Arabidopsis thaliana: one gene and its partner. The protein of the gene in region 1 purifies or fractionates together with the protein of each later gene. This does not show direct contact. Each region holds a gene or a part of one and is shown on either strand. Other genes may lie near its edges.

Evidence for each region. The genes of interacting proteins can lie anywhere in the genome.
Region 2: the proteins of PEX13 (region 1) and APEM9 purify together in Arabidopsis thaliana (affinity purification with western blotting; one study listed by BioGRID). This does not show direct contact.

The regions. Positions count from the first base shown.
Region 1 is NC_003074.8:2,410,821-2,415,450, forward strand, and holds PEX13 (peroxin 13), read right to left. Parts: upstream 2,768-4,630; 5' UTR 2,491-2,767; coding exon 2,472-2,490; intron 1,975-2,471; coding exon 1,735-1,974; intron 1,655-1,734; coding exon 1,311-1,654; intron 1,205-1,310; coding exon 1,112-1,204; intron 1,015-1,111; coding exon 796-1,014; 3' UTR 501-795; downstream 1-500. Other genes in the region: AT3G07550 (RNI-like superfamily protein), read left to right, coding at 1-313; AT3G07565 (histone H2A deubiquitinase (DUF3755)), read left to right, coding at 3,003-3,241, 3,708-3,807, 3,943-4,005, 4,241-4,361, 4,452-4,561. UniProt on the Arabidopsis thaliana protein: Component of the PEX13-PEX14 docking complex, a translocon channel that specifically mediates the import of peroxisomal cargo proteins bound to PEX5 receptor.
Region 2 is NC_003074.8:3,302,282-3,307,052, reverse strand, and holds APEM9 (3-phosphoinositide-dependent protein kinase-1), read right to left. Parts: upstream 2,829-4,771; 5' UTR 2,708-2,828; coding exon 2,664-2,707; intron 2,338-2,663; coding exon 2,161-2,337; exon of another isoform or gene 2,016-2,160; coding exon of another isoform or gene 1,999-2,015; coding exon 1,921-1,998; intron 1,628-1,920; coding exon 1,354-1,627; intron 1,267-1,353; coding exon 959-1,266; intron 868-958; coding exon 747-867; 3' UTR 549-746; downstream 1-548. Other genes in the region: CYP77A6 (cytochrome P450, family 77, subfamily A, polypeptide 6), read right to left, coding at 3,356-4,771. UniProt on the Arabidopsis thaliana protein: Involved in peroxisome biogenesis and matrix protein import. Required for pollen maturation and in vivo germination via its role in peroxisomal function, which partially involves jasmonic acid biosynthesis.

The sequences.
Region 1 (4,630 bases):
AGGTTGTCCATTGCTCCAAGAGTGGAACTTGGCTCTTTGTCATGAAGTTAAGATTTCGGGATGGGAAGCCGTAGGGAAGTGGTGCCGTAACTTGAAGAAACTCCATGTGAACCGTTGTAGGAACTTATGTGACCAAGGGTTGCTTGCTCTACGATGCGGTTGCATGAACCTCCAGATTCTCTACATGAACGGGAACGCGAGGCTGACCCCTACAGCAATTGAGATGTTCAGATTACATAGAGCCGATATAACACTAAGAACAGAAGAAATGATGGTCATAGGACCAGACTGGAGACTATATGCACAAGAATAAAAGCATCAATTTCTATCAACAGTACATGATTCTTTTAAGTTCGTTCATACGACATTTTTGGGACCAATGTGTTGGTCTTGTCTAGAGGCAAACTGCAAGAAAAGATGTATTCAAGAATAGGCTTCAAGTTGTTAATAAAGTATCAAAATCGTTTACTGGTCAACAGTGTTGTTTCAAATCCAGTAAAAGAGGAAGAGAATCGGATATTATAAATATATATCAATAGAAAGGTCTTTAACAAACACTTAAAACTTCACTTTCCATTTTGTAGAGTACGACATCTATCCTTTACCACACAATCAGAGAATACTGAGAGATAGAGAGAAGAGAAGAAGAGACTCAATTTGCAAACAAACATCTGGTTTTCGTACATCCCAATCTGTGTTGCAGGCTGCTACACGGTTTATCTTCTATCGGTAACCAACTGGTTGTCATGGTGTTTTAAAGCAATGTTGAAGGATTTGGGTAATGAAAGAAGTAACTTAGTTGCCCCATACATTGTCCCAACCACCGCCACCACCTGGTGCAGCAGTTTTAGGCCCCTCGAGGTAGTTCTGGTTTCCATGTGGCTGGTGTGGTAAAGGTAGCCCATTAGGCCCTTGTGGTGGCTGCTGCATCTTTCTAGGCCTTGTTCTCACCCCAAGCATACGCAGTACAAATCTTGCTAATTCTCCATATAACATACCACCACGATCAAATAGCTGAGGACAAATAAATGATTGGTTAACATGAGAACAATGAAATGGATCAAGGAACCAGTAAAATACGAGTTGGTAGAAGAAAAAAACAGGAAGGAACCTGAAGAAGGGCAGACATGAACATGTGAAAGGCCTGTGTGTTTTGATCTATAAGCATCGCTACACGGCCAAAGAAATTCACAGCACCTTGCATCTGTCATCAATCAAAACATGAACACTTTATGTTATACAGTACTACCTTATCATTATCAACTTCTTTTATTTCTTATACAAAATAAAGTATGAATAATGAACAATACCACACGGAGAAATGATATCCAGAAGCCTGGTGGAGATGGAGGTTGATTAAAAGGGTCATTTGGATCTTGACTACCATAAGGACCACCCATTCCCATTCCCATCCCCATTCCCATTCCCGTTCCCATACCCATACCATAACCACCCATCGTGCCACCATAACCACCCATCGCACCACCACCATACATGCCTGAACTTCCATAGAGCCCACCACCACCATAACCTCCTCTATACATGCTACTACCTCCATACATCCCACCACCATATGATGAACCATACCCACCTAATGCTGAACCATATGTACCTGACCCATACCCAGAGGTCATACCTAGATTTGAACCATAACCTGCCATTCATACAATAAAAGAACTAAGCTTTATGCAATCTCAGCAACCAAAAAATCTAAGATAACTTGAAAAAATATACCTCCCCCCATAGTGCTCCCATAATTCTGCTGTTCCCAAGGTCTAGCCGGTACAGGCCTACTGAGTGAATTCATATTAGCAGCTGTATTAGGCCTGTTCACGGGCGGAGGAACTACTTCACCAGGATTAGCTGTGCCAGAAGCCTCAACTGAACCAGCCGTGCTAGTATTAGAAGGAGGCCTGAAAGGATTAGGACCAGATGTATTTCCTTCTTTTTCCCAAGGTTTAGGAGGACTGCCACCTACAGCAGCAGTAAATTGAATTAATTATACGTTTAGTGACATGACAGATAGTATTCTGAAAATAAGACTAAACTTTAATCAGCACAGGCAAACACACACACTAAAGAGACTTGATGAAAGCAATTGTAAAGATGATTAGGAACAGTATCGGTAACACAAGTGAGGTTATGTGAAAACATCAAAGTAGAACTATGATGTAGAATAAGAAAAGGCATCAAATTGCAATCCAAAACGAAAGCATCTAATTGAATCAAGAAAATCTAAGGCCAATCAAAGCTAAGCGCAATCCAAAAGCTGATCTCATCAATTGATTACAACCCTAAATTAAAATCCAATTGTAGGTCGAAAGTTAATCAATTTCACAACTTTCAAATCAAACAACTCGACGGGTCTCATCGAACGTACCAAAATTGTAGAAGGAGAATTCAATAAATCGAGACCCTAAAATCTGAATCCTCAAAAAAAAAAAAAAAAAAAGAATTTCAATTGAGCTAACCTGCAGGCTGAGACGCCATATATCAAAGAGACGACGATTGGAGAGAGCTCTTGTTGGTAATCTCCGACGCCAACCTCAAGCGCGGAGAGAGAGAGATAGAGAGACAAGAGAGGTGGGATGAAGAAGACAGAGGAGAAGGGACCTCGAAAAGAGAGGAAAAAACAAAACAGATTACTTTCTTCTTTTAGGTTATTATGTATCAGCCCCTATAGTTATAATCCTTACCCAAAAAGCCTCTTAATTACTAAAATTGACGTATTTGACTCTCAAAAATAGAAAACCAAAATCCGAAAAAGGATAGAGATGAAATTATATGTTTATATTATTATAAGCAAAGATTCCATATTTCGAGGGAAGCAGAAGAAGAAGCTCAGTCGGCGGCCGGATTAATCTCCCCATCATCTCTCTCTCTCCCTCTCTCTGTTCCTATCCCGGCGAATTCATATCTGAATTTCCCAAAATTCAAACTTTTCCGGTGGAATTATTTTAGGAAACCAAGTGACTTCTTAAGCTCCAAAAATTGGGTATTTAATGGCGGCGAGCGCGAACCCGTCGGGGAACAATCAGGAAGGTTCGTCGGCGACGCAGAAGGTATCGTCTTCTTCAGCGGCGGCGGCGAATGGCGCTGCTGTGAATTCCGTCGATAATGGTGGAAATACAGGCGCGGCGGCGGATAATTCACAGACGATTGGCGCGTTGAGGCATAATCCAGGGATCTCTACCGATTGGACTCTTGAGGAACAATCTCTATTGGAAGATTTGCTTGTCAAGTAATCTTCTCGCTCTCTCTCTGTATGTTTAAGATTTGGATTTGCTGTTTTATCCAATGTTCTTTCTATCTGACTAGATGTGACTAGATGTAGTGAATTCTGCGATATGTTATTTTCCATGGCCTTTCAAGCATCATGTAGCTTGAATCGGAATATGTGTTGAGAATTGTTAGCTTTGGTCGGGTTTTTTGAATTATATCTGAGAAGAGAAACAGTGGTATTTGATTAGCTGATTGTGAGTTTTGGATGTGGTTTCAAGTATGGTAATAAATAAAATACTAGAAAAATGACTAGCTAGCTAGTGTGGTATCATATTTATGATAGGCTCATTAGTGTTAGAGCAATGTGAAAATTTTAGGATTTAATTAGAGGATGAGTTGTCTACTTATCTGTAATGACTGGTTGTAAATTTTTGTAGGAGCCTTGTTAAATCCTATCACTCTTTTAGTAATTAATCTTTATATAGGTACGCGACAGAACCGTCGGTTTTTCGATATGCGAAGATTGCTATGAAAATGAAAGATAAGACTGTTCGAGATGTTGCCCTGCGCTGTAGATGGATGACTGTAAGTTTCTTGATTTTGCTTAATCCGGCGACTTTTTCGTTGTTCTTGATTAACCTTCTTCGTGTATTGGCTTTATTGATTAGTAAGAATCAACTGACGGTTTTTCACCTCCATGTGGTTGCTGATGGATTGCAGAAAAAGGAAAACGGAAAGCGTAGGAAAGAAGATCATTCCTCGAGGAAAAGCAAAGATAAGAAAGTATGTGGATTTCAATCCTATTTGCTGCTACTTAGCAATTTCGATACTAGCAAGGCTAAGAAAGATATTTGAAGTACAAACCATAAATCAGCTTGATTGAATTCTAATGTGTAACTAGCTTGAACCTTTAGTCATTTACTTGTGAGTTTGGACGGATGAAAGTTCTTGTGTTGTCTTGTGGATCCATTTATAAGTCTACAAAAACTGATTGATTGTCTTTCACATATCTGTTTAGCAGGAAAAAGCTACAGATTCTTCAGCCAAGTCCTCATCTCATTTGAATGTTCATCCTAATGGTCCTTCTTATGCTCCGCCTATGATGCCTATCGATACTGATGATGGTATTTCATATAAAGGTTTGTCTAAGATTCTAGGCTTTTTCCATTTAAAGGCTAAATCTTCTAGATTGGATTAGAAGGAGCATAAGTGTTTCGGCTTTATTGCAGCTATTGGTGGTGTGAGTGGAGATCTTCTCGAGCAAAATGCTCAAATGTTCAATCAACTTTCAACAAATTTCTCAGCTTTCCAGGTGAATTCAACTTCCACTTTTCATCTTGTAAGTTTTGTATAATTCGCTGAGTTTTTTGGACTTGATTTGATTCTCTGCCTTGTGCTGTTGGCTTTT
Region 2 (4,771 bases), 890 kb from region 1:
TTTAGAGTTTTTGTTCTAGTCTAGACTTTAGTTGAATAGAAACTACCTACATAGTGATTGCGTGTCTTGAAAAGTAAAGAACAGTTTCACAATCTCGGGATGTTCGAGTTGATCAAGAACAATCCTCTCCAATTTGACATAAGCGGTTTTATTCTCTTTGGTGATAAACTTTTTGTCCATGATCTTTAAGGCATACACAGTTCCATTATCCTTCTTCTTCGCCCTAACAACCTGATTCAATTACACATACGTAAAATCTCCAGGATATGAATTGATTCATGAATCAAACCAAATTGCAGAAAAAGGTGTGATTTTTACAGGAAAAAAAATCGAAAAAATGAATCCTTTGAATAAGAGCCAACGCCATAGATCTTGCCGAGCTCGAAATCATGGTAAGTGAAATTCTCCTGAGGAGCCTTAAAGGCGAAGCTTTTGCTTCTGTAAATAGTTTCACCATTAGAAGATGAATTCCCTTGAAGTGTAAGCTTTGAATCTGAAACTGTAATCCCTTGCTTCTTCGAAATCCAAACATACGAGGATTTATCCCATATTAAAAAGGCAAGGAGAAATATAGATAAAACATAATATGCAACGGGTTCTTAATCATGTTCAGTGATTACAGTTTGATATAAGTGGAGAAGTTTGGGAAAACTAAGTTTGAACTTTGAATAGAACCAATTATGAAAATATTTGAGTGTTGGTTTGGTATTACATAGGCATTTTCAATGCCAAATTTTGATCCATCTTCATGTTGTGGTGCTTGGTATGGATTGAATTGCTGCAAGAGGATTCACTTGGTATGAAAACGCAAGCTTCCAGAAATCTACTATTGCTTTTCTCGTGGACTCCATTTGCCTGCGAATGATCCTGAAACAAGTAAACAAGTTTCACAATGTATTTTTTCATCACACAACTTCTGATCATTCAAGCATAGAAACAAGCTTATAAGAATTCTTACCTTATCAAAGCAGCTCGTTTTCTCTTCAAAGCATAACATATGATTAATCCAACAAGGCTTACGGCAACCTTTCCCCTGGACATGCTAAATTGGGTATTACCAACCTTGAGGCTTAGAGGATGGGATGACCAAAGTGACCAAGGTTCATGCTGTTTAGATAGTTTCAGGAAAGAATCAATCTCATCATTCTTTTCATTACCCAACGACTTCTTGTTATTCACTACAGCATAAGAAGAATCTTTGGAATTTTCCTCAAAAGAACTAGCTGTTTTGAGAGAAAGTAAGGAATGCAATCTTCTCAAAATCCCCTGAAATAGACAGTTTAGTGTAGCATCATAGTTAGAACAAATTCACAATTTCATACACAACTCACGAAAATATTCAATAGTTAGTACCTGTCGCCTTTCCTCAGGCAATGCAGCTTTTTCAACCCATGAAATGGCTAGGCCCATGTCATTTGAAAATTTTGCAAGAACTCCAAAAGTATACAGCTCAACGACTTCCATGTACTCATCAATATCTAAACAGTTTTTCGCATGGAATCCTTTTGTACTTACTCCAGCATCATTTAGGATATAGTGGTTGTCCTTGTAAACCCATATTCTAAAGAACTCTTCCAGAATATCACGTACACCCAAATAGGAACCATTTGATATTTGAAGGCATACTCTAAAAGGGAAAAAAAGGGAAGAAGATCAATAAACTAGATTTCAACAATCTTGTTCTGTGACTTTTGTCTATGCTAATGCATCCAGAGAGCAGTATTGTACTCCCCTTAAGAAGAAAAAGTTTGCAAATAAAATGAATGTTATTGTACTCCCCTTAAGAAGAAAAAGTTAGCAAATAAAATGAATGTATTTTACTCCTAGTTTTGAAAAATAAACTGCAAAAAGAACCAAATATTCTCCTTTTAAAGCATCTTAAGCTGTAATACTTTGAAAGATTTAGAACAAGAACAATACCCAGTAAGAAGAACTTGAACAGGAATAGCTGCAACTTCTCCAAACACATCTCTTAACTCATTTACAATCTCAACTGTCCTGCATGAAAAAGGCATTTGTTGGCAAAAACTATCACATAGCCAAAACTACAACAAGCGTCCAAGACTCTAAAGTTTCTTTAGAGCATCCAATTCCAAACAGAAGTAAGAGGCAAAAGAACTACTCATGTTATAACATCTGAATACAGTAAATGAAATATACCTGCCGATTCCATGCAAGGATTGAACTAAGACCATACCAGCAGATTCCAACATATCATGAAATTGATGATCACCTTGAGAAGCTTCGTCGGATAAAACATCAATGTTGCCAAATATTCTTTTCAGTATAGAGGAAGATAATGACTCTGCCTCTTCATACATAGAGCACACTAGGTAACTATACACATCCAACAAAAAAAAAAATGAGTAATGAAATTGGTACTGAGCCAATTTCTCAACTTGAAAACAGATAATTTTTACAAGTATGAGATAAATTTGAGTGGACATCATCATAAGCAATTTCATTTGAACTTGTTTCTTGTCAAGTCTGTGATGAATCGTTTTTCTACAAACTCTATACATGACTGAATCAAAGCCGGATAGATAATTATCGTGATAACTAATTCTGAGAAAATTTTGACTTCTCCTTATACACATGGCCAAGTACGGAACCAAAATTCGCAAGCATGAAAAATTAAAATTTAAGCAAATTCTCAGGAATACCTCTCAGAACGTTCAATTTCTCCCCAAATATCAGTTGCCTCCATTGTAGAGGTATTGGAAGAAGCTTATCCAAAGCTTCAATTAGACACAACAGAGCGATGAGATTGATTCTGCTCGAATGAAGAACGAGGAAGAAGCGAGGGAGAGGAATTAATTGGGTATTTGCTATTGGGCCAATATAATGGGCTTCTCCTTCACAAATCTAATCAAAGCAAGCTAAGCCCAAAAATGATGATTAGCATTATTCTGGTTGTTAATGGGCCATTAGTTTCGCATTAAAAGTGAAGTAGAACAGTGATACATTGCGTGAACTGTTATTTCAAACATTCAATGATTCATGAACATGCAACAAGATTAGTTAACAAGTTAAAATCTGAGCTAACTTTTGCGGCTCAATGAAAGTCCAGCATCACATTCATGTCTTTTTCATTTTTGACATCGACATGTCTCTTCTCTTTATAGCTACTTGGCCCTACTTTCGGTGTATGTACGAAATTATTAGTGTTAAGCACAATCTCAAGGTAGCTCAGTTTTACATTGAAAAAAAAAAAAAAAAGCAAAATCATTTATTGATGTGTTTTGACAATAAATGAAATCTTTTACTAGAAATTCACAAAGCACTTGACAAATTTCAAGAGTATAGGTTCCTTCTTTAATATATAAGCACACATCGTTTTCATAATTAAACAAATTTAGACCCTTGGCTTAACCATGGCTCTCAACGGTTTCTTCATTACCACCGTAAACTCCAATTTCCCGGCGAAATCAATTTCACTTTCCGGCGGATAAGCGCTCCACTCAAACTCTTGAACCATCTTCGCTAGCATCAAATGCACGTGTACGGTCGCCATCGCTAGCCCCGGACAGATCCGACGGCCAATACCGAACGGCATCATTTTAACTCCGGTTACACCGGTTATGTCCGCTTCCTCCTTACCCGAAATAAACCGATCCGGGTTAAATTTCTTCGGATCAGACCAAAGCTTTGGATCCTCATTTATTCCCGGAAGATAAAACTCAACGTTAATCCCAACGGGAACATCGTAACCGGCGACCGTCGTCGGCTCCGTGACGGAATGAGTCAACGTAAAGTATGTCGGAGGATGTTTCCGTAAAATCTCCTTAACAACGGCTTGTAAAAAGACCATTTTATCCACATCTTTTTCCTCAACCTCACGATCTCCAACCGTTGATTTAATCTCATCGTAGAGCCGAGATTGAATCTCAGGATTCACAATCAGTTGCGCTATACCCCACTCGATCGCCGTCCCCGTCGTATCCGTACCACCGTTAAGAAACTCAGAGCAGAGCGACACAAGCTCTTCATTAGACGGCGTCGTTATACGACCTTCGGTTTTAAGGTCAAAGAGTGTATCAAGATAAGAAAAAGACGACGCCGTTTTATCAGTCCCCGGCTTCTGAATCGCTCTCCGTCGTCTCTCGATGAGTTTAACGATGAAATCAACTTGTTCACAACGAACCTCGAGAGCTCTTGCTCTCTCCTTGGAATAAAACGGAGCAAGAATCGGGAGATAATCATCGAGTCTTGGATTGAGTGTGATCAACACTTTCTTCATCACTTGATCCATATTCAATATCGATTCTTCATCCATTTCGATTCCAAAACACATCTCCAAAAGAATACAAAACGCAGCGAATCTTGCGTTTCTTAGGACCCAAACAAGACCGTCGTTGTCTTTAGCTTCTGATTTGATCCTCTCGACGAGTTTATCCATTGCGGATTGTCTCAACGACCCGAATTCTCTGAACCGGATCGAGCTTAACATGTTCTGTACCATGTTCTTTCTCAGGGATCGCCATACTGGACCGTACGCTGAAGCGTTAACGGTGAAAGTGTTGGAGCTGAAGATGGTTCGGGTCGGATTCTCGGTGGGTCGGGTTGCGAACATTGGTCCACGTTGAATCAGAACGTCGTGGACGAGAGCTGAATCAGAGATTATGATCATTGTTCGACTTCCCATCCTCAACGTGTAGATAGGACCGTATTTTTTCCTTACATCGTCAACGTACTCGTAAAACTGCTTCCCGGAGCGCGCGAATTGGAAGAGGTTTCCAACCACCGGCCACCCCGGAGGACCTGGAGGAAG